Caenorhabditis elegans: one gene and its partners. The protein of the gene in region 1 interacts with the protein of each later gene in a biochemical or structural test. Each region holds a gene or a part of one and is shown in the gene's direction. Other genes may lie near its edges.

Evidence for each region.
Region 2: of the proteins of smo-1 (region 1) and dpy-27, one has a biochemical effect on the other in vitro, tested with the Caenorhabditis elegans proteins (one study listed by BioGRID).
Region 3: of the proteins of smo-1 (region 1) and lin-1, one has a biochemical effect on the other in vitro, tested with the Caenorhabditis elegans proteins (one study listed by BioGRID).
Region 4: of the proteins of smo-1 (region 1) and ulp-1, one has a biochemical effect on the other in vitro, tested with the Caenorhabditis elegans proteins (one study listed by BioGRID).

Annotation. Positions count from the first base shown.
Region 1 is NC_003279.8:1,338,978-1,342,455, forward strand, and holds smo-1 (Small ubiquitin-related modifier), read left to right. Parts: upstream 1-1,700; 5' UTR 1,701-1,725; coding exon 1,726-1,791; intron 1,792-1,847; coding exon 1,848-1,948; intron 1,949-1,998; coding exon 1,999-2,107; 3' UTR 2,108-2,288; downstream 2,289-3,478. Other genes in the region: K12C11.7 (Copper transport protein), read left to right, coding at 1-18, 299-393, 453-589, 654-733; K12C11.1 (Xaa-Pro dipeptidase), read right to left, coding at 2,378-2,659, 3,195-3,478. UniProt on the Caenorhabditis elegans protein: Ubiquitin-like protein which can be covalently attached to target lysines as a monomer. Does not seem to be involved in protein degradation and may function as an antagonist of ubiquitin in the degradation process.
Region 2 is NC_003281.10:3,813,190-3,821,650, reverse strand, and holds dpy-27 (Chromosome condensation protein dpy-27), read left to right. Parts: upstream 1-1,971; 5' UTR 1,972-1,973; coding exon 1,974-2,399; intron 2,400-2,448; coding exon 2,449-2,550; intron 2,551-2,632; coding exon 2,633-2,991; intron 2,992-3,175; coding exon 3,176-3,931; intron 3,932-3,994; coding exon 3,995-4,232; intron 4,233-4,438; coding exon 4,439-4,647; intron 4,648-4,695; coding exon 4,696-5,146; intron 5,147-5,277; coding exon 5,278-5,715; intron 5,716-6,034; coding exon 6,035-6,312; intron 6,313-6,379; coding exon 6,380-6,728; intron 6,729-6,832; coding exon 6,833-7,373; intron 7,374-7,479; coding exon 7,480-7,742; 3' UTR 7,743-8,007; downstream 8,008-8,461. UniProt on the Caenorhabditis elegans protein: Central component of the condensin I-like dosage compensation complex that associates specifically with hermaphrodite X chromosomes to reduce their gene transcription throughout development.
Region 3 is NC_003282.8:2,296,752-2,302,352, reverse strand, and holds the start of lin-1 (ETS domain-containing protein), read left to right. Parts: upstream 1-2,066; coding exon 2,067-2,090; intron 2,091-2,135; coding exon 2,136-2,223; intron 2,224-5,601.
Region 4 is NC_003281.10:5,164,654-5,171,492, reverse strand, and holds ulp-1 (Sentrin-specific protease), read left to right. Parts: upstream 1-1,693; 5' UTR 1,694-1,753; coding exon 1,754-1,793; intron 1,794-1,841; coding exon 1,842-1,943; intron 1,944-2,009; coding exon 2,010-2,146; intron 2,147-2,668; coding exon 2,669-2,971; intron 2,972-3,018; coding exon 3,019-3,300; intron 3,301-3,606; coding exon 3,607-3,759; intron 3,760-3,811; coding exon 3,812-3,909; intron 3,910-3,957; coding exon 3,958-4,689; intron 4,690-4,765; coding exon 4,766-4,844; intron 4,845-5,046; coding exon 5,047-5,214; 3' UTR 5,215-5,834; downstream 5,835-6,839. Other genes in the region: prp-19 (Pre-mRNA-processing factor 19), read left to right, coding at 1-438, 502-884, 934-1,137; T10F2.2 (Mitochondrial ornithine transporter 1), read left to right, coding at 6,202-6,436, 6,806-6,839. UniProt on the Caenorhabditis elegans protein: Protease that deconjugates smo-1 from targeted proteins and may catalyze the processing of smo-1 to its mature form.

The DNA of each region.
Region 1 (3,478 bases):
ACTGTGAAGGAAAAATTGGTGATTTTTTGTTAAAATTTTATCACGGGGGTTCTGGCCTTCCTCATTGAATTTTTCGCGCTCCATTGACAATCGCCTGCCGGACGGGAAAGTCGTGTACTCCACACGGACAAATCACATTTAGTTTTTCAACTAAAATTGAGCCGCTACGCGCCGCCAGATATGGCCGAGCCAAAATGGCCTAATTCGGCAAAAACTCTTCCATTTCAAATTATGAGGGAAGCCAGAAACCCGTGTTTTATTTTTCGGGAATTCCTGAATTCCAAAAAAAAAATTGTAGGCCGTCGATTGCTGTTGCTCAACGCCTGAAGGCATTTGGGAGATTCCGGAAGAGCCTGAGCCGTCGCCACGTGGCAAACTGGCATCGTTGGCTCCGTGAGTTGGCTTAAAATATTCCAGGATACGAAATTCCGAAAAAAGGTGATAAATTGCAGATTTACAATGGAATCCATCTCAAGTTGGAGACATTTTGCGTCTTCTTTTCTATTTTTTCTTCAAAATTTTGTGGATTATTCGTTGATGCTGGTAGCAATGACATATAATTATCCGCTATTTTTCTCGCTTTTAGCAGGTTTTATTTATTTTTTTTTTTTTTTGAATTTTTAGAAGAAAAGCTTAAAATTCGTAAATTTTAGGCCACGCCATCGGATATTTCTTCGTTGGCCCGTTGATGACGGTTAAGGAGGTCGAAAACACTGGAAATTGCTGTTCTTAATTGATTTCATAAATATGTATAAAGCATTAAATTTGAATATATTTTTAATAAAGAAAAATCGATATTCACATTAGAGCGCGCTTGCAATTTCACGATGAGACCTGACGATACCGCGCGAATTAAATCGATCGCTTTTTGGCCTAAAATGCTCATTAACAATTGTTTTTGTAGTTTTTAGCTTAAAATTATATTTTAAAATCCAGTTTGCCTTGTTACATATTGGAAAACGGTATTTTTAGAGTTTTTCCTCAAAAACCAAGCGAAAACCTTGAATTTTGTTCCGAAAACTTGTTCAAAACATTTTTTTCGTTGAAAACTCAAATAATTCACCAATTTATCTATTTTAGGCCGAAATCTCTTATTTTTTCAGTCCAAAAAGCACCAAATTTGGTCAAAAACCTGTCCAAAATCTACCGTACCCTCGTGTTGCTCGTGAAATGCGGTGCATTGTGTGCAAACACCGCGGCGTGAACATGCACACTCTGCAACGCGGGAAATCATTTCGAAAAGGTTTTTAGGCGCGTATTGCCCGATTTTTCGGCTCATTTCGTGTGTTTTCATTTATTTTTGCCTTCTTTCTCCGGTCGCGATGCGTTTAATTAAGTTTTGCTTCTAAATTTCGTCAATTTCGCTGAAAAACCACGTAGAAAACTTGATAGGAACTGGATATCCTAAAAAAAAGGATTTCCTTGAGAAAAATGGGTTTTTTTTCTGAATTTCGCAGTGATATTCTTGAAATTCTCAGCGCAGCGCTCCCCAGACAATCGATATTCCTAATTTTTCAAGCATCTTGTGGCTCAGCCAGCTGTTCTGTAATTATCGATTTTATTTGTTACAGCGTCTATATAAATACCCTAGAAAGTCATCATTCTGCACTCTTAATACCTTTCACTCGTGTGAGTTGCATTCTCCATAGCAACTCTACCTCTCTCCTTCTATCTCTTTTTCTCTTTTCAAATCTAATTTCGTTTCAGAGACTCCCGCTATAAACGATGGCCGATGATGCAGCTCAAGCAGGCGACAACGCCGAATACATCAAGATCAAGGTCGTTGGACAGGTAATTTGACTGGAAATTCGCCGCGAATTTGTTAATAATTCCCAAAAAAATTGCAGGACAGCAACGAAGTGCACTTCCGTGTAAAGTATGGAACCTCTATGGCCAAGCTGAAGAAGTCGTACGCTGACAGAACCGGTGTCGCCGTCAACAGTCTTCGGTGAGTTTTGGAAATCCGCGCCAATTCCTATCAACTTTAAATATTTGCAGTTTCCTCTTCGACGGACGTCGCATCAACGACGATGACACACCGAAGACGCTCGAGATGGAGGACGATGACGTCATCGAGGTCTACCAAGAGCAGCTGGGCGGATTCTAGTCCTCTACCTACACTCTAATCCGAAAACAAACACCCATCCATCCCTTTTCCACTGAGATACTCGGTTTCTCTGTCTCATTTAATCTATTTTCCACATTTCGAATCATATTATACAACCAAAAAAGTTTAAAATAACTTATTTATCTTACAAATAAACTCTTCGTTTTCGGAAAATCCCAAATTTTTAAAAATTAAATTTTATTTTACATGAAAAAATAACACAGTAATAGTAGTAGGAATGATGATAAATTAGAATCAGTAGACAAAAAATCACTTGGACAAGAAATCAGAGACACGAGATTCGATGACCTTCTCCGTCCATTCGCCTCCACTAGCCATGAAGTTCTCGATCTCCTCGACGGTTCGTGGAAGATCGCTCAGATTCTCGTTACCAGAAGCACGAATGATGACGTCATCCTCGATACGGACGCCGCCTGATCCGCGGTACTTGTCGATTTCGGATTTGACGAGGAATTCGCTCTTTTTCGGGTCGGCGAGCGCCTCGTTGAGCAGGAAATCAATGAAATAGCAGCCGGGTTCGATGGTGATTGCCTGGAAGATATCGATTTTTACGTGAAAATTCGGAAAAATTGAGGTTTTCTGGATTTTCCAGCTCCGCGGGGCTAATTTTTCTACTTTTCGATAAAATTTCGGCATTTTGCATGCTTTAACAGCTCAAAACTCAAAAAATTATCGATTTTTCCGAAAAATTTACTCCCGTGGGACAGTTTTGACTGAAAAAGTCAGCTTTTCCACAATTTTTACGGTTGCAGAGCTCTGCCGCCTCGATTTTCACGAAAATTATCGATATTTCCGAAAATTTTAATGCTTTGGAACCATTTTTACTGAAAAAGTCAATTTTTTCCAATTTTAACGGGTTGCAGATCTCTGACACCTGGATTTCTGCGAAAATTATCGATTTTTCCGAAAAATTTACTCCCGTGGGACAGTTTTGACTAAAAAAGTCAGCTTTTCCACAATTTTTACGGGTTGCAGGGCTCTGCCAACTCGATTTCTGCGAAAATTATCGATTTTTCCGAAAATCTACTGTTTTGGGACTGTTTTGACGGGTTGCAGAGCTATTCACCATTCTCTCCATCAGCGTTCTCGTCGTTCTGAGGCTCTTGAGCCCGGGAAGCGTTGATCTCGGCGTCGCATCACCCATATATCCTCCACAATCGTGCACATCCAACCCGATCAAGTGTCCCAATCCATGAGGCATGAAGACCGCGCCTACACGTGCCTCCACAGCCTTATCAATGTCGCCGACGATGAGCCCAGCCTGCTTGAGATGCTCCAGAATCACTTTTTCCGACAAAATGTGCATATCCGTCCAGCGAACGCCCGGTTTTGCCGCTTTCAAGACGGCAA
Region 2 (8,461 bases), on another chromosome or scaffold:
AGAAAGTAACTATAAAAACGGGGAAAAAAAATCAAATAGGCACAGTTTTTAGTGTTTCCGTCTTATGAAAAATACCTCTAATCATTTCCGGCAAATCTGATATCCGGCAAACGGAAAACCGGAAAATTGCCGAAAATGAAAATATCCGGAAAATCGGAAAACCGCCATTTTGTCGGAATTGAAAATTTCGTTTTACATCCAAATCCGTTTTACATCAAATTATACCCCTGTTTCTTCTTCTACAGTTCCCCTCCATTTTTTCGATTGCAGACTTTCTAGAAGTTTACATGGTTTGTGACTCTGTAATATGCTCATCTGAACCGTATGTTGGCAGATGTTCTTGCTCACAAGACCATCCGTTGTTTGATCTCTCATTTCCCACCATTAGAAGACCCGTTGTTGGCTGCAACATCAAAAACGAAATCCTCAATTACACGCAACTAACTGCTCAAATTATAAGCTTATCTATCATCTCAACAGAGGAGATCAGCTCATATTCTTCTCTCACACACCTCTTCTACCCATCACAAGATGGAGTCGTGCCAGCCCGTACCAGTGTGCTTGTTACCTAGGCGACCTGAGAAGTACAAAATAATCATCCGTCTCTTGTTTCTCACACCTTGTTAAAACTAGTCAGTTTTATACTTTTGTCTTCTGACTTCAATTCTCTTCTATTCTCTTCTTCATTAAGGATGCCCGGATCAACTGGTGCAATGGATTTGACGGAGCAAGACACGGGTAATCGCAGACAGTAATGCCTATCAGGACTTTAACTACTTGTTCTATTATAGACGAAGTTCAATAGAGATCGTACAGACACATAAATTGACAAAATTTTTGGCTCATTTCCTTCATGCTTCCATCTGGATTCACATACATATCTAATATAAAATTTCAAGTTTCACTCATCGTGTTAAACTACTTCTTATCAATAAAATCTAGTGATTTTTTTTCAATATTATACATATAAAAACCTCTCGGTTTTTTGGGGACCTCTTCAGCTGAAAACTCGTATACTTTTCCCAAAGCGTGATCGTTGATCGACTATCTGTAGCATATCGATTTGTACATCTAGTAATGGGAAACGTTTGCCAAATTTTCAAATAATTAGAATCTTTATCTCTCCAGCTCCTTAGTCTGGTACACCCAACCTTCTTCGCAACAATATTCCGCTCATCACCCACCCACCCATTGCTATGGATTCTCTCCGTCTCTTATTCCACTATTCTTTCTCTCACCCGAATCGTCTTGACCGCAGTCGGAGTCTGTCATTTCTCTCAGTCTCCACGTTCTCCATGCTCTTTTCCACTTTCACCTTCGTTCTCTTTCGTCGTCTGCCTCTAACCCCACACTCGGTCAGCAGTAGTAACAGCTCGCACACACAGACACAGACATACGCTTGCGCGCGCGCAATGAAATGGGTGTGTGCTCGTGTGTGACCGTTTCTTAACTTTTTTTTTGAATTTGACAAATAAATTAATTAGCGCAGCTTTCATAATCTTAAATCTTAAAAAAATTAACAAACTTATATATAGTTTCCAATGTTATCTGTGCCCTGATTTTCCTAAAGTCCGGAAAAAAAATTCGTTTGAATTATCGATTTGAATTTTTCCCCAACATTAAAAATTTAGTTTTCAATATTTGAGGTGAAATCATACTGATAACTATATAATATACTATAACATTAATAAATTTCTAGATGACTTTTTTCAATGTTATCAATTTGTAAACTGTGTGATTCAATTTTAAATATGAAATATATATTTCAAAATTTTTTGATTAGGTAATGTTGGCAATTGGCATTCAAAGAAATTTTGTCAGTTGATAATTACCAAAAAAATTTGATTGGAAGGGGTCGAAAGTTTGCCAGTTGTCAAAACATTTCCAAAGCTTTGCCTTTTTGGCAAAATTATGCACCTCTTACTCTCCCTCTCCCTTTTAATATTTATCAAAATTAATTCCTTTTTTCAGGTATGCAGCCGTTTAAAAGACGGGCGCTAACCTCGGACGATGATAGACCATATGCTGACACCGACTCGATGCCTGAAGTCGATCTCGACGTGGATCGCCGACGACAGTACATGGAACAGCTCAACATATTCGATGATGTTAGTTCAGGCGCGTATATGTTGGAACTTGAAGCGGCTGAAAACGGTGTGAAATATGATGAAAAAGAGGATCTTTTGAATGTTCAAATTCCCCCAAAATATGAAGATCAGATCTCGGATCCGGATGGAAATCGAATGATAATTCTGAATATCTACGTTGAGAACTTTAAAAGTTATGCTGGAAAACATATTCTCGGACCGTTTCACAAGAACTTGACAATGATCCTGGGACCAAATGGAAGTGGAAAGTCAAACGTTATTGATGCATTGCTATTCGTGTTTGGATTTAAAGTGAGTTTTTTAAATTGAAATTTTTATTCCACAATATACATTGTTTCAGGCTGGAAAAATTCGTACCAAGAAGCTATCAGCATTGATCAATTCAGGAGGGAACTACGAATCATGTTCAGTAACAATTATGTTCCAGATGGTGAAGGATATGGTAAGTAGGTTATTAAAGCGGGCCTGAGATCCACACGATTGAAAACAAACTAATAACTATCAATATCAAAATTAATTTTCAGCCTGTCGAAAATTACGATAAATATGAAGTGTTAACAGATAATTGCGTCTGCATCACCCGCACAATAAATCGTGAAAACAATTCAAAATATCGTATTGATGACAAAGATGCATCGCAAAAAGACGTCCAGGAGCTTCTCCTACGTGCTGGAATTGATATGACCCATAATCGATTCCTGATTCTGCAAGGAGAAGTTGAAGCGATTGCACTAATGAAGCCAACATCCAAAAATCCGAATGAAGAAGGAATGCTTGAATATATTGAGGATATTGTTGGAACCAATCGTTTTGTCGCACCAATTTCCAAACTAATGCATCGGGTTTCTCTATTGGAGCACAAAAGTTCACAATATGGAGCCTCGTAAGTTCATTTTAATATTATTAAATACCACAAATTTTGGCACGGATGTACCACATAAAAATATAAAGCATGGAAATTCAAATTGAACTAGGAAAAAACAAAAAAACTTTGCGGTTTCAACTTGAAATATATTAATTTTCTGAAACTTAAAAAAATTTCAAATTAAAATTCTTTCCATTTCCAGTGTTCGCCGCCACGAGGGACACCTAAAAGTCTTTGAAAAGGCAATGGTTATCGGGATGGCCTACCTGAATACCTTCAATAATCTCAACTACCTTCGTGGAATCCGTGTCAAGCACAATTTGTGCCGTTATGCTGAAACAATGAGGGACGCCAAAATGAGTCTTGTCACTCGAACAGGAGAACTCGAAGAGAACAAGGATATCATGCTTGAGGCAAAGGATGAAGTTCGGAAGAAGGAGACTCACGAGAGAAGCCTTAATAGTATTGTCACTGAGCTGGAGAATAAAAGAATCGATTGGCAATCGAAGAAGAATGACTGGCATGCACGTGATGCTAAGAGAAAGCAGGGGCTCAAGTCGTGTACTCAGGACCTTGGGAAGCTCATGAAGGAGCGGGATGAAGCTCGTCGGGAGAAGTTTGAAATTGAGACGGCTCCAGAGAATGCGAGAATCTCTAAGCAAAACATGCAACTCGAATGGGATCAGCTCAAGGAGCAGGAGAATGTGTGTCAGCGGACAGCTACAGAGAATCTCATCAAGTATGATCAGAAGTCTAGTGCCGACAGAGCGAAGCATGATGATCTGGAGAAAAAACTCTCAGATGAGCTTCTGCAATCGATGCGAGCAAAAGCAGAATTGGACGTTTCTGAATCAGAACTTAAGGATATGACGATAATGATGGAGCAGGGACAGAAGAGAGTTGATGAGCTTAAAGGGACATTGCAAACAATGATGGCTGAGAACATTAGAGATAATACGTAAGTTTTATTTTATTTTATTTTATTTTAACCAGCTTTTAAAAATTCCCCATATCCTTCCAGTGAGCTAAACGCCGTCACAACTGAGCTGCAAGATAGAAAGCTGAAGTTTGACAAAGCTGTCGAGAAGCTTCCGCATTTGAAGTCTACCGAACAACTTTTGAGAAGCAAGAAGTATGAGCTGGATCAAGAAGTGATTGAAGCATCGAACACCCAGGAAGTTACGTACCGTCATCAGGCAACCGCAAAGCTTCATGAACTGAAAGAGGCTGGATTATTTCCGGGCTTCAAAGGTCGCTTGGTAAGTTATTCGATTGGGAGTGAGTACCTGCTTTGAAATTTGATTAGCTGTGAGCATCCTGGGGTAATCTGATGTTCCATGTAAGTATGATTTTTCTGGGAGAAATACATTTTAAATAGGATCTTTCAAATTCAGAAGCCACACGTTTAGTCTGATTTCGAATTGATTTTTTTTCGAGGACCAATTTAAAATTAATTGTCTTACAGGGAGATTTGGCAAGTATCCCAATCAAGTTCGACACCGCAATTTCAACAGTGTTCTTTGCACAATTGGATTACCACGTTGTGCAAACTAGCGATGAATGTAGAATCGGAATTGGCTTCTGCCACGAGTACAAACTTCCTCGTACGACGTTTGTCTTCTTGGATCACTTGAAAGATACTGATACTAGCGGAATGGATTCTACAATGAAATTGTTGGTAGTTGCCTTTAGTTGCCAAATCTAATTAATTCTTATTTTCAGCCCAGCCGAACGACTTTTCGATAAGATTCACTGTGTAAACCCTGAGATTCGCCGCGAATTCTATTTCTTGATCCATGACATTCTGGTTGTTGACAGTCTTGAAGAAGCAACTCGAATTGATAAGAAGTATCCTGGAAGGCATCGTTATTGCACACTGAATGGCTCAATTTTGAACCGAAGTGGAGCATTGACTGGTGGTGGAAAACCGACGACTGGTCGTATTCGAAATGATAATAATCCAAACATGAGTGGAGTCAAAAAAGTTGATTTGAGCAAGCTAAGAGCCGCACAGGAGAAGCACAATCACGCACTGGAAGCTCATTTGAAGTTGCAGTTAAAGCAAGAAGAGATCCGAGCCGACAATGGTCCGATTATCAAACAGCTCGAGATTCGTAAGCGTGAATTGATTATGTCCACCAAGGAGCAGAAAACACGGATTGCCGAGTTAAAGGTGATTTATTTTTGCGTCTCTTACTGAAACACAGAAATTTTCGCTGTTCCGATTTTCTTGAAAATGGATATATCGAAAAAAAAACTAGATTTTATTCAAAATTTCCATTCTAATTTTTTAATTATTTCCAGAGCTCAATCGCAGCACATGAGCGCCGTATGGTTAACTATAGAGAAGTGACCGTTGAGGATTTGGACGAGAAGAGAGCTCAAATTGCAGATCTGAAACGTCAAGTGGAGGAGAGCCAAAAGTCTTCAGCAAAAATCAAGCAGCAAATTGAGCAATACAAACGGAAAATGGACCGAATGTTTATGGAGTTGGTCCAAAAAAATAAGGACTCAATTGAGCAGGCGAAGGATCGAATGGGACAGCTGGAGCAGGACATTGCACGACAAACTGCAATTATTGAGAACAATCCATCACATTTGGAGCAGGCCGAGAAGAAGCTTAGTGAGCTGGAGCATATGTGTCTGGAGAAACGTAGCGAGGCAGATGCATTGGCTCAATTGGAAGTTGGAGAGGATGTAAAGGGAATTGATATTATCAATGCGCAATTGCAAACTTCAACGGTATGTTTAATTTCTATAGGACTAGGATTCTGGTTAGGCTTATGTTTAGGCTTCGACTTCAGTTCAAGCTTAGGTCCAGGCTTAGGTTCTGGCTTGAGCTCCAACTTAGGCTTTTTTTAGGCTTAGGCTTTAGCTTGGTGTTTCCAACCTTGCTCCCTTAGTTCTAGTAAACATTTTCGATTTTTTTTCAAAATTTTAAACCACTATTCAAACAATTTTTGCGCTTTTTTAAGCAGTCTCCTTATGAAGTTCGCCATTTTCGAGCTATTCAGAATTTACCAATTCAAGCTTTACTATTTTCTAATTTTTAATCTTCCAGGCCAGCATTGATGCACAAAGAGCCAGGTACACTGAAGCGGTTGCGGCACGCCGAGAAGCAGATGCAGCCTATCAAACCACAGTTGACAACTACAACATGGTCAAACAGACTTATGATGAACTGATGAGAATCATTGATGACTTGGAAAACAAGACAATGGCGGATAATGCAGAACTTGATATTATTGAATCTGCATGGATGCAACCGGAAAAGCTCTATCCACCTGGCAAATTTGTCAGATATAATGATCCAGATATTGCGGCCAAAATGACTGATGGGTACGTTTCAGAAGCTTTGGGAGATTTTCCATGTGCAAATTCAAATTTATAATCACTGAGTTTTTAGGCACGTTGTACTCCCATATGAATGCATCAGTATGATCGAACCTCACCGTGAAGCTTACGAAGAGCACGAAGCGAGAATGCTTGAGGACGATGTTTTCGAGGACACTGCTAACAAGATTTGCAAGCTGGAAAAAGATGTTGACAAGTTCCGGCGGGAATTTGATAATAAAGGTGTTCGGGATTATGCGATGATTGTGTCGCTTCTCATGAACGAGGTGACGTCAGCGAAGAAGTTTAGCGATAAGCTGAAGGCTCATCGTGAGAAGCTCAACGAGTTGAGAATGGCGAGATTCAACGAGTTCAGCGAGGCGCTCGCATTCTTGGGTACTACTACCCAAATGCTTTACCAGGTGAGTAAGGGGTACTTGCCTGCTACCAGGCTGACAGGAAGCATTTTTTCTGTCAGACCCATTGCTTTAAATGAGATTAAAAGAAACAAGTTATTTGCTTACAGCTTATCACCAATGGCGGAGATGCTAGTTTGAAGTTTGTGGAAGAAGGAAAATCTACCGATCCCTTCGATGGTGGAATAAAGTTCAGTGTACGTCCCGCCAAGAAATCCTGGAAGCTCATCGAGAATCTATCTGGCGGAGAGAAGACTCTGGCCTCTTTATGCTTTGTCTTTGCAATGCACCACTACCGTCCAACACCCCTCTACGTGATGGATGAAATCGATGCGGCACTGGACTTGAACAATGTCAGCCTGATTGCAAACTATATCAAGCATTCCGAGCGAACACGGAACGCTCAATTTATCATAATTTCGCTTCGAAATCAAATGTTCGAGGTCGGAAATCGCTTGCTTGGTATCTATAAAATCGATGGAAAAACTTATAACATTATGGTGGATCCGATCGCGGTGGAGATCAAGAATCGTCCGATTTTGAAGATTTTCGAGGAGGAGATCAAACGGCGCGAGAAGCTACGACGTGCCGAGATTGAACCGGAAATTGATTTGAGTAATGGGCTCAGCAATGTCGTTATTGCACCAAAACGTAAGTAATAATTAGTGACATATCAACTGCACTTTAATTGTAAAATACCAAATCAAAGTAGCAACCAGTCCAACTTAAACCCATCTCAACAAATACCAATTTTCAGGTAAACAACGCCGGCTGGAAATGCTGAAACTCTCGGACTTTGGTCTCGATGATGACAGTGATCTTCCTGAATTTAATAGATTCCCACCCGCAACTCGTCGTGAATTAAGTGTTGAGGATTCAGATGAAGACGATGAGCCAGTAAGAAGACGTCCGCGTCGTCAAGTTGAAGAGGAAGATGAAGAGGATGAATTGATCGAAGAAGCAACTCCATCTCCACCACCAATTGTCGTTCAACGCCGTGTGCGAAGAAGCAGACATTAAATTGAAGTAATATATTTTAAACTAAATTTTGAAAAAAAAAAGAAAACTTTGTGAAAAATCCAAAAAATGAGACCAACTTTCTTTCAAGCTTGTATTTTTTAATATTCGTCTAGCTTAATTTTTCCTTGTGATTTTAATTATTTCCCTTTTTAATATATTTCCATTTTGTTGTATATTTTGTGAAACCCCTATATCTTTGCATCACGTACTGTCCAATCTATCTCATTTTCTTAATTCGCTGACAAGGTAAATTTTCGATTCACGATTCACAAAAATAATTATTTCATTTTTATTTTAGAACTACATTGCAAAGTTTTTCCTAAAAAAAATAATGCCATCAAAAAATAATTTCCTAACAAAGAAAATTTCCTAAAATTTCGAAAGCTGCTAAAAATTTGACTAAAAATTTTGGACAATCTGTTAAAAAACAGGATCTTTTATTTTGATATATACATAGTTATTTTAATCCTTTTTGGTAGACCTTAACAAATTTTTTGAAAATATTGTTAGTTGGGAAATTTGTTAAAACCACTCAAATGTTTGTTAAAAAAACCATGTATAATATTGCAACTTATATATTTTTACAAAAAAAATTTTGAAAATTTTTATATGCAATGTGAATATGCGGTTTCAAAAATGCTCGAAATTTTGTAAAAAAATCCAAAAGTTCGGAAAATTTTGCAATTTACCAAAACTTTGACTAAAAGTTTTGAGATAAT
Region 3 (5,601 bases), on another chromosome or scaffold:
TATATCTCTAATCATTTTTAGAATGTTAGTAAGTTTGACATTAGAACAATATAGAAAAATGGCTGAAAAATGTTTTGTTAAAATGACAGTTTCAAATAAAATCAAAAGATAACCGTGGTATGAGCTGGCAAAGTTGAGCGTGTGAATTCGATGCACCATGTTTGATCCTCTACACTTTAGAAGACCATATTTCGATCGATTTTAAAGATATCAACGTATAGTAAACTAGAAAACTATAGAAAAATACCGTATTTCTTCTATTAATATGGCTGCAATACTATTTTTCGATGGTCTTCCCGCTTGCAATACTAATAGGGAGTGCAAGACTATTAGGGAGTGCAATACTAATTTTCAGAACATTTTTCTGACTTTGAGCTTACTAGTTTTTTTCTGAAAAAGCTCGAATCTTATGTAAAAATTCAGAAAATTTGCTTTTAATTGTAACATATATAATAAGTTCAAAAACTTCAATCTCGTAGAAATGTTGTGAAAAACTGTTGCAAAATAGGCAAATTTTTTTGTTGAAATCCTGAAGTTAACAAGACGGGCCTGCAATAAAAAAGAGTAAACGCAAGGCTATTAGGGAGTGCAAGACTAATAGGGAGTGCCATACTAATTTTCGGAAGGTCTCCGAGGGGCAATACTAATAGGGAGTGCAAGTCTAATAGGGAGGCCATATTAATAGAAGATATACGGTATGTGAAAAACAATTTTTTAGTTGGCAATTTTCTGATAAAACCAATGTCAATCAAGATGTCAACTGATAAAGTTGCATAGGCTGCCAAAGTGGGTTCATTTGAGGTTCAATTGATGCACCATGTCGTTCCTTCTTGGACAGCCTATATCTCTATTTATTTTAATGCTAGTAATTTTAAAATGAGAAAATTATAGAAAAATATTTGAAAAATGTTTTGTTAGTTGTCAATTTCAAATAAAATCAAAAGACAACCAAGATATGAGCTGTCAAAGTTATGCAGTTAAATCCTCCTCACTTTAGAAGCTCTAATTTCAGTTGATTTTAAAAATATCAAAATATAGTAAACTAGAAAACTATAAAAAAATATGTGACAAACATTTTGTCAGTTGACAATTTTCTGATAAAACCAATGACAACCGAAATATAAACTGGTAAAGTTGAAGTTTTTTTTCGATGCACCATGTTCGTTTAATATGATGATTTTCTAATTTTCCAAAATAGTTATATATTGGCAAGTGGAAAAAAATTTGGTTTGTTTTAAATTGATTAATAATGTTAATTGCATAATTGTACAATATTTTGTCAGTTGACAAAAACAACCAAGTTTTCAAAGTTAAGTCTCGAGCAAGTTTCGGTTTCCTACGTTGTTTGGCGGGTTTTCAAAGAGTTTTTTGGGCAATTTCAGACAATTTTGAGCTATTTTGAAGTAAGAAGACATACAAAAACATTGCAGGTATTATAAAATAATTATCAAATAGCTAAAAAAAAATTCTTCATTACACTTAAACAACTTTTGAGCAGACCAACTTTTGTGATTTCCAATATATGATTTTACTTTTAAAAAAAATCTAAGACTAAACCATTTCCCTCAACTTTTAAATTATTCTAACATTAAACCTCTCCTCTTCCGTTTAAAATCGTATTAGCCAAGGGAATTAGGCCTTTGAAACTAAAACTTTTCCCTTGTGTCTTGTGTCACAACGCATTAAAATTTGAAGATATTAATAATTGTCCCACTTTCCACATACTTCATTCTTTTTTTATGAATTGTACAGTAGGCCTTTATGCCTGCCTGGTGCCTAGAGTAGGCATAAGGTAGGCATGAGATCGTAAAGTGACAGCAAGTTTTGCTCATATCTTAAAATTATCGTGTTTTTATAATGTAGATTCAATTCAACAATAAGTGAGCAAAAAGTGTTGTAAATTTCCGCATTTTACAGCCCCCCTCCCGTCCCTTGTTATCTATAGAGTCACTGAAAATAGTAGCCAGCTCGTCACTCATTGCCACGTCATCTTTCATCAGCCGCCGCCACCCCGTACCATTTTCCAGGTCAAAAGAAAGCGCCGACACTCTACAGTTTACACGAAAATGAATCACATTGACCTTTTGAAGGTTTGTCCACTGACTTCATGACTCCTAAATAGTATTCTTTTGCAGGTCAAAAAAGAGCCGCCGTCGAGTTCGGAAGAAGCCGAGGAAGAAGAATCTCCGAAACATACGATTGAGGGAATTTTGGATATAAGAAGTTAGTTTATTTTTTATAGTATTTGGAGCAAAACACACTTGCTACTAAAAGCAAATGTGCTCAATGAAGTTTGGCTCAAAATTGCTGATAGTGATTTTTATTTTGAATGAAAAATTTCACATTTTTCGGCAATTTGCTTATTGTGATTTGAACAGTCGAAATGTGAAATGAAAAATTAGGGGACATGGTGCATTGATTGGGCAACTTTGGCAGTTTATATTTCGGTTAATGTTTAAGATACGAAAAAATATGTAACTACAAAGTTATAGAACAACATATGAAATTTGTTTTGTTAGTTAAAAGTTTTTTGATAGAACCAAAGATAGCCAAGGAAAGTGGTGACAAAGTTATGCACCATGTTTGAACCTCTACACTTTAGGAGCACATATTTCGGTTCATTTTTAAAATATCAACATATAGTAAAATACAAAACTATAGAAAAATATGTGAAAAACAATTTTTTAGTTGACAATTTTCTGATAAAACCAATGTCAATCAAGATATCAACTGATAAAGTTGCATAAGCTGCCAAAGTGGGTTCATTTGAGGTTAATTTGTTGGACAGCCTATATCTCTATTTATTTTAATGCTAGTAATTTTAAAATGAAAAAATTATAGCAAAATATTTGAAAAATGTTTTGTTAGTTGACAATTTCAAATAAAATCAAAAGACAACCAAGATATGAGCTGATGCACCATGTTAAATCCTCCTCACTTTAGAAGCTCTAATTTCAGTTGATTTTAAAAATATCAAAATATAGTAAACTAGAAAACTTTAAAAAAATATGTGACAAACATTTTGTCAGTTGACAATTTTCTGATAAAACCAATGACAACCGAGTCAATGACAATGACAATGACAATGACAACTGGTAAAGTTGAAAGGATGTTCGAACAATATGATACTTTTCTACTATAGTGGCAAGTGGAGCTATTGGCACATTCTCAAAATATTTTACTAACTAGTCTAGTAGAACAAGTTTCAAACCAATTTGTTCTTCCTGCCAGACGGCTGAATAAACCGTAACGACCATGCTCTTCCACCTGTCGGTTGATGCTCAACTACTGATTCCTCTCCCTGCCACTTTTTTCTCTTTTTTTCTGAATTTAGTTTTGGTTTTTGCGGGTAAAATCCGATAAGAATTGATGAATGTGTGTCGCTTTGGGTAGAGCAGCTAATCCGTATTTGGTTTTAATGATGATTTGATGATTTAGTATGGTGTTTCTTTTTTCTCAAGTTTTTGAGTAGAATTTTCAAGAAATTTGTGAGAAAAATGACTTAAATTTTGCCAAAACATAGGGTATTTTTTAAAACTTTGAGCAGAATTTTCAAAAAAAATAACACGATAAAATTCAATTCTAAAATAATTGTCAAGACGAAATTTTCGGTATAAATCCAACTCCCTCTATACATATTTCCGCCTCACAGTACCGCAGGTCCCCCATTTTTGTTTGATTTCTACCGCATTTTCACACCCAATCACTTTTGTATATATATACATACGACATATGGTGTCAATTAATAAGTCGGAGGGGAGGGTGTGTGTTTGATACGTTTATATATTTAGATACTTCTTGTTGAAGAGTCAAGTTAAATCAAACCACATGACAATGTTTAGAGCTTTAAAGGTTCATAACTGGAACTATTGTTTTTATATCCATTTGCAAAACGTTACATTAAACACATGGCTGGAATAAAATACAACCTTTTGTCTTTACTATGCCACAGAGTCTGTAATAGTGTCCTCCAATAATTTAATGCATTTTTACGTGCTTTGCAATTTTTCTGAAAGTATCTTCAAATGGGTGAAAATCACTCATTTTGATATTCTTCTATACCTTTGAATTTTCTTGATATATATGCTTTACTGTTACCCCTAAAACCATCCCAACTAGCATCTGTTCTTCACTATTTACGGGTCTCTTGTCTTCCTTATCTGTTGTTATTGTTGTTGTGCTCTTTCGGAGCAGCTGAAGTTGCGGATTAAAGTCATCTGCGACCAAAATTGACGGATCGGAATATATGGCCGACAAAGAAGAGGTGCTTGAATGGGGTGAAGTGGGGGTCCTAAAAAGATCAGTCATCCGGAATGTTTTTAGGGTAGTATCATATGAAAAACCCCTCTACTCAATTCATATTAAATATTTTGTCAGCCCCTGAAACCTCTTTATCCAACAAGAAAACCGTACTAATGATAGGTTATATCGGAAAGATGTGGAAGGGTGGAACATAAATATTATTGCGTCTTCACGGATTTTTGTGAGATCATCATTTTGGAGATAACCAGGGGGGAAGGTCATCAAAAGGTGCGACTGATAGGCATCTGGTAGTGCATGATTCAGTTTTAGTAGTGTATTTGCTTTTTTTTGAGGACATGAGAAAAATTTAGGAAATTTTTGAACCCACCTTGAGAATTTTGGAATAACTGCTGTAGCCTCTCCTAGGGCTTCCACCAGGGGTGTGCGGCAAATCTCAAAATTTGCCGAGCTCGGTAAATTCGGCAAATCTCTTTTTTCAATATTTGCCGAGCACGGCAAATTCGGCAAATTCGGCAAATTCGGCAAATTCGGCAAATTCGCCGTGCTTAACAAACTCGGAAAAATTTGATATTTTTTTTATGTTTTTTGGAGCACCAAAACTACTGAATTCTTAACACACATCTGGTTTCTGAATAAGTTCCGCGTAGTATGTCTGTTTAAGCATCAAAATAGCTCAATTTTGTATCATTTTACTAAATTTTTGGCTAAAAAATCAATAGTTTTAGTCAAAATTGTACTGTCAAATTTTTGACGTGTGCGGCAAATTCGGCAAATTCGGCAAATCTACTTTTTTGAAATTTGCCGTGCTCGGCAAATTCGGCAAATTCGGCAAATTTGCCGCACACCCCTGGCTTCCACGTAGGCGATAAAACGCCTGCCTGCCTGACTTTAAGGCAACCTCTGCCTGCCTCTCGTGAACTTCTTTCATTCTTATTTTGATTTTTAACAGATTGATAAAAATGATAAAATTTGAAGTTTGAAGTTTCAGGCAGGCATCAGGCCCTGAAACCGTCCCTTAACATTTTTAAAATTTTCAAAAAGATACAGCCTCCCACATTTTGATTTAAAAATATCTCAATATTTCCCTATTTTGATTAATAACTCGATAAGAATCAGCATGCAAAAGGTGTCATATCCATTACCTATAGGTCCCCCCTTATCCAATATACATCTCCTCCCCCCTCTCTCTCTCTCTCTGTACCCGCCTCAAACGAACCGCCCGTTTCCAGGGGCAATGAGTGATGATGATGACAGGCGGCACACAGACATATCATAAGCATTTGTTATATGTACACATCATTCGAGAACATTAGAAATTCCGCCAACCGCTATGACAGA
Region 4 (6,839 bases), on another chromosome or scaffold:
CTGAAGATCAACAAGGTCTTAGTGAGGCAATTCTGGCAAAACTTGAAGAGAAATCAAAGAGTCTGACTGCTGAACGTAAACAACGAGGAAAAAATCTTCCTGAAGGACTTGCCAAAACAGAAGAGCTCGCCGAGCTGAAACAGACAGCATCTCACACTGGAATTCATTCGACTGGAACTCCTGGAATTACTGCATTGGATATCAAGGGAAATTTGTCACTTACCGGAGGAATTGATAAAACCGTTGTCTTGTATGACTATGAAAAGGAACAGGTTATGCAAACATTCAAGGGGCATAACAAGAAGATCAACGCAGTTGTTTTGCATCCGGATAATATTACTGCAATCTCTGCTTCTGCTGATTCACATATTAGAGTCTGGAGTGCAACTGATTCGTCTTCGAAGGCTATTATTGATGTCCATCAGGCACCCGTTACAGGTGAGATATTTGAAAAAAATTCGCTAGCTGTAATTCTTCTATTGAACAAACAATGTTTTACAGATATCTCCCTCAATGCATCCGGTGATTACATTCTCTCCGCTTCTGATGATTCTTACTGGGCATTCTCCGACATTCGTTCCGGAAAATCGCTTTGCAAGGTTTCAGTTGAACCAGGATCACAAATTGCCGTTCATTCCATCGAGTTCCATCCTGATGGTCTTATTTTTGGAACTGGAGCTGCGGATGCCGTTGTGAAGATTTGGGATTTGAAGAATCAAACCGTGGCTGCTGCATTCCCGGGACATACTGCTGCCGTTCGTTCGATTGCGTTTTCTGAAAACGGATATTATTTGGCTACGGGATCAGAGGATGGAGAGGTCAAATTATGGGATCTTAGAAAATTGAAGAATCTGAAAACTTTCGCTAACGAAGAGAAACAACCGGTAAGAAATTGTTAAGCAAATGTTTAATGAAAAAATATAATTTTTTCAGATCAACTCCCTGTCCTTCGACATGACTGGAACATTCCTAGGAATTGGTGGCCAAAAAGTTCAAGTTTTGCATGTGAAGAGCTGGAGTGAAGTTGTATCACTTTCTGATCATTCTGGACCAGTCACTGGAGTTAGATTCGGAGAAAATGCTCGTTCATTGGTGACGTGTTCATTGGATAAGAGTCTCCGAGTATTCTCTTTCTAATTGTTTTTATTACCATTTATTACTAAGTTATTCAAAATTTCACCACATTTTTCCCGTTTCGTTTCCTTGTTTTTTTTGTATTCCGGATTGTTCAGTCAAGTTGAAAATATTCCCATCTATAGAAAAGCTGACAAACTATTATTCTTTCTCCATCTCTCGTTACCATATATTATCGATTCCAAAAATTCTCCTTTTCACTGTGAATCAACAAAAAAAAAAGAGTTGATTGGCTGTCTTCCTGTGGTGAGATCTCTTTCTATTTTTATCTATTGGATTTTATTTTGTTCACATTTATCTTTTTAACAGTTCAACTTTTCTCCAGATTCCCCAAATTTTATTCATTTCATTCAAAAATGATCTGCAGCCAATCTCCTCCGCTTCTATCCCATTCATCTATTCTTTTATTAAAAGTAATTTATGCAATAATTGAATGATTACGTACTGCCTAGAGGTTAATTGCCTTCTTTATTTTGGCTGAAAAACTTAAAATGTTGCCCTTTGTGATAGTATTTACTATAGCAAAAATCTTTTAAAGCAGCTAAAAACTATATTTCAGGATAGCTACTTGAATCTGGAACATCAAAAATAGACGATATTCGATTGAAAGAGAAACGGAATGTCACGTAGGTCTGATTTATCAGACAAAGACTCTCAATGTAGGAGAAGTGAATGAAAAATAAGCTGAAATTAATTAAAATATTTAGCAAGAAAACGACATTGGTTAACCGATCAAGCTGTTACAAACGAAGAAAAAGAGCAGTCGCCAACAAAAAGAACCAGAAAAACGAAATCTCAAGGATTGGGTGGTGAGTGAATCCTTTTCCTTGATCCATAAAAGTATAAATTTGAAATAGCGATCTTCAACATTTCAGGGCTTTTCAATACCTTCTTCGGAATGTTCGTAAGCAGTAATTCGGGAGAAAAGGAGAAAACTGAAGTTTCGGGCGAAGTTCAAGTTCAAGAGGATGATGAAATTATAGTGGAAGGAACGACGAGGAGAGTTGCTGAGGTATATTTTGAGAATAAATTAACTTTCGGAGTTAAGTTCAGCAAATACCGTATATTCTCTATTAGTGCTGCATGCAGCACTAATTTCCAGGCCCTTTTTTAATGCAGCACTATTAGAGACTGCAGTACTACTGGAGACTGCAGCATTAATTTTCGAACGGCTATTTTCAATTATAGATCACTAGTTTTTAATCACAAAACCTCATATTTTAAGCAGAAATTCATAAAAATTGCGAACTTTTGTAAAAAAAAGACCCAATAATTCAATTACTTTCCTAAATTATCAAAAAATCATAAAATATACAAAAAAATACCCAAAAATATCGAAACTGTCAAGTGACTCTTTCAATAGAAAATGGGGTGCAGCACTAATAGAGACTGCAGCACTATTTTTCGGACCCTTTTTGAATGCAGCACTATTAGAGACTGCAGTACTACTGGAGATGCAGCACTAATAGAGAATATACGGTATATAAACCCCCCCCCCCCCCCCCCTAACTAAACATGACCACAGTTGTTACAGAACAAGAAATATATGATTTTTCTGAACGAAGATGCACCTGTGAGAGCCAATGCTGGATCAGAGGAAAATGAAGTTATCATTGAGAAACATGTTCAAAAAAACGTTGAAATTCGGAATGACGAAGAAAAACAAGAAGTTCAAGGAGATTTAGTGCTCACCTTATCATCTTCCCCAAAGTCGCCAAAAAATTTGGAAAAGTCATTTGAAGTACAACAGGATGATGAGGAACCAGACGTTCTTTTCGAGAAAGTAGTCAAGACACCAAATAAGCAATTGCAAGAAGCAAGACGATTTCAGAATGAGGTATTAGTATTCGAATAATTCTATTATAATAAATTATCAAACTTTAGTTGATCTTTCTCAACGACAATCCAGACACACCAGACGATGTATCAGTTATTTCTGACTCTAGGAGCAAAGAATTTATCTCACCGACACCCGATGACAGTGTTAGTCGTCCGATTACTCCGAGCTTATCATCATTATCAAATTACACATCAAATAATGTTCGTGATTATTGGAGACGGAATTCTGCTAAAAAGCCAGAGGTTTTGAGACGGGTCCCTGTTAGACATCAATTTAAGCACTCAACTTCTGTTCGGAAAATGAACACGATTATTGATTTAAAGAAGGTAATTATTTCTTTATGAAGCAGAGAAACTAATGTGAGAAATTACAATTTTCAGTGTATCAAACTGAAGCTTCAGAAATTAATTCTAAATGCCAAAAACTTCTTATTATTAAACTTTATAGGTTTTTTTAAAAACCATTTTGGAAGATTTTTCTTCCCAAATGGTCCGCAAAACCTACAAGATTCAATTTTTTAACATTAAAATTGATTTTGGAACGGATACATTAGACGATTTTGTTATTTAGAATTAATTTCGGTCCACTGTTTTTATAGATAATTATTTATTTTTAAGGTTTAATTATTTCAGATAAAAAATCACCTGTCATCTCGCGATCGACTTCTTCAAGGAGTTGTTGCAAGTGGACAATACGAAGCTAAAGCGATTTCTGGAATTGTTGAAAAAAAACCGAAGAAAATGCAGAGAACATCATCAACTGACATATTAGCCAGAGCGAAGAATGTATGTTCAGGATATTACTGTTATTTAAAACTTTCTGATCTTTTTTCTTCAGAAAATCGCAGAATTGGGAGGATCCCGAAGCAACACCCCTTCACTCTTATCAAGAGAACCATCCATCATCATTGATAGCGAAGAGTCCACTTCTTCAAGGTATTTATTTAAGTTTTTCATCAATTCAAGCAATAATATAAATTTAAGTTACCGCCAACACGCCCGATCAAATTCGTCGGAATCTGATTCATACAGGAAACTCAATGATATTCTCTCGCAAATTAATAGCCTTGGAATCGGTTCCGCATATCGAGGACCGCAGAGATATCAGAATTCTTATCAATTGTCGAAGCAGAAGGAGGATAAACTTCTAGAAGAGGCTCGGATACGAGAAGGACATCGCTCTCAAACAAGAGGTGATCGATTGGAAGATGTTCGGAAGAGACTTGAATTGCAAGGAATCGCTATTCGTCCGAAGGTGGAGAAGAAGAAAGTTGATGATTTTATGGCTTTACCTGATGCTGCTGATGCTCTTGTAGAAAGAGCATGGAGCGGAGGGAATCCAAATGAACAATTTGTGGATGCATTCAGCATTCAGATCTGTAAAAAAGATCTTGCAACATTGAGTGGATTGCATTGGCTGAATGATGAGATCATCAATTTCTATCTTCAATTGATTTGTGATCGGAGCAATGGCGATTCGAAATATCCAAAGATCTATGCATTCAACACATTCTTTTATTCCAATATTGTTTCAAAAGGATACGCGAGTGTGAAACGATGGACAAGAAAAGTCGATATCTTTGCATTCGACATCGTTTTGGTGCCAGTTCATCTTGGAATGCATTGGTGTATGGCTGTTATCGATATGGGCGAAAAGAAGATTGAGTTTTATGACTCTCTTTATGATGGAAATACAGCCGTTTTGCCAGCATTGCGGTTAGTTTTTTGAGTGTTTTTGGTTTTTATTTAAAAAACTCACAGAGAATATATCAATAAATATTTTATATTTCAGAGGTTACTTGGAAGCTGAATCATTGGATAAGAAAAAGACAGCAATGAACTTTTCTGGATGGACAATTCAACAGATGACGGTATATTGAATTTTAAAAAAATTAAATAAAAAAAAGGATTTTTACTTTAAATTTATTTCTGAAAAAAAGTTTTTTTTTAGAAGTCCAGATGTTTGGCTCAATCACTCTTTTTTTGATATCTATGCTCTCTAAAACAACCAGTAATACTTCTGAAATTACACACACAAAAAGATCTTCAACACGCGATAATCATCTTGTTTAGGACATTCCTCGTCAACAAAATGGCAGTGACTGTGGAGTATTCTCATGCCAATTCGGTGAATGGGCATCTCGACGAACGACGCCTCGCTTCACGCAGAAAAATATGCCATACTACAGAAAGCGAATGGTTTACGAGATTGTTTCGAAGAAGTTACTCGCAACTATTTGATTCTAGAAGATTAAAAGTGTCATAATTCATAGTTTTGTTTCCGGAAAAGTAGCTGTAAAATGTATTTTCTTCTCATTGGGCATAATTAAAACTTATATTTTGTCGGTGTCGTAAGCCCGAATCATCTAGAAAGTCTTTAATTTTCTGTATTTCGAATTAACCATATTTCCCATTTTCGTAGCATTTCTTCATTATCCAAAATATCGTTGTGATTCTCATCACTAATTATAACTTTTGATTTCATTTCATACCGTGTAAAGAATGTTCATACAAAAGATTAAAGATGATCGACGGTGTCAGATCACATCACATTATCACTTGTCACGTGGTCATTCTCAGATGACGTTGTTTTGTTTCAAAAGGTGATGCAAACTTTCCCATCCCGTTTTTAAGATTTTTTTGTCTCTGTGGATCTCTGGCCTTTTTTCTCTTTTCTCTTTTTCATTCTTCCTTTTATCCGAGTTTTATTTGATTTTTGACGTATTTATTAACAATTTTCTCTCCCTTCCACCTTTCAATTCCCAGTTCAATAATATCAATCAGCTTTCTCTGTTATATCAATATATTTCACTCCCGATCCCCGTCACCATTGCAAGTTGCAATAAATACAATTTCTTCACTTTTTTTTCGTTGAAATTTATTTTTTTTTCTTCTTGGTTTTATTTTCAACCTCATGGTTATATATTTTGAAGTTTATACAGATTCAATGTTTTATTTTCTAAACAGAGGAAATTTAAATCCTCCTTTATTGTGCTCATCGTGATCACAAAGTCACAAAAAATTTAACTTCCCAAAACCAAAAGAAATTGTCGTTTTGTTTTCCTCCTCACGACTCAAAAGTTAAATTTTTTGTTTTTTGGTCCGAAAAACCAACAAAACCAGCTATTTAGCAAACAAGAAAAAATGATCGTGATCTAAATTTTCTGGAAATTTTCAAAACCATTTCTTCCAATTTTTGTTATTTCAGAAAATAAAATAGATAGAAATATGCATGAAAGCGGTGAACCTACAACTGCAACGGGTGATGCTTCAGCCAATCATTTTAAAGATGGAATTATCGATTTATTGGCTGGAACAGCTGGTGGAATTGCCAACGTGTATGCTGGACAACCATTAGATACAGTTAAAGTAAAAGTACAAACATTCCCGAATCTCTATTCAAATTGGATTGTTTGTCTCAAGGATACTTATAAATTGGACGGAATTCGAGGACTTTACGCTGGTTTGTTATTTTTGTTTCGAAAATTTTGAGCTTAGTCTGGATTTCTGAATCTAAAAAAAGAAAAACAATCCTTTGTACTGAACACGTTCCATGCAACTATAAAAAAGAGTACTTCTTGAAGTAAAAATTCTCACCCTTTCTGGGAAGAACAATATAACGTGTTTTCAAAAAAAACCTTTTTTTGCAAAAGTTTCAGATTCTTTTTAAATAAAATACAATTTCTAAAAAGCTTCCAGAAAGCTCAGCAATTTTTTTGAACGTTTTATTTCAAATAACGTAGTTTTGATTTGGAAGTCGAGATGAAATCGAAAAAATCTTGAAAAATTAAATGTAACTTGATTTCTAAAATTCATATTTTTCAACATCCAGGAACTCTCCCAGCTCTAGCTGCAAATGTTGCTGA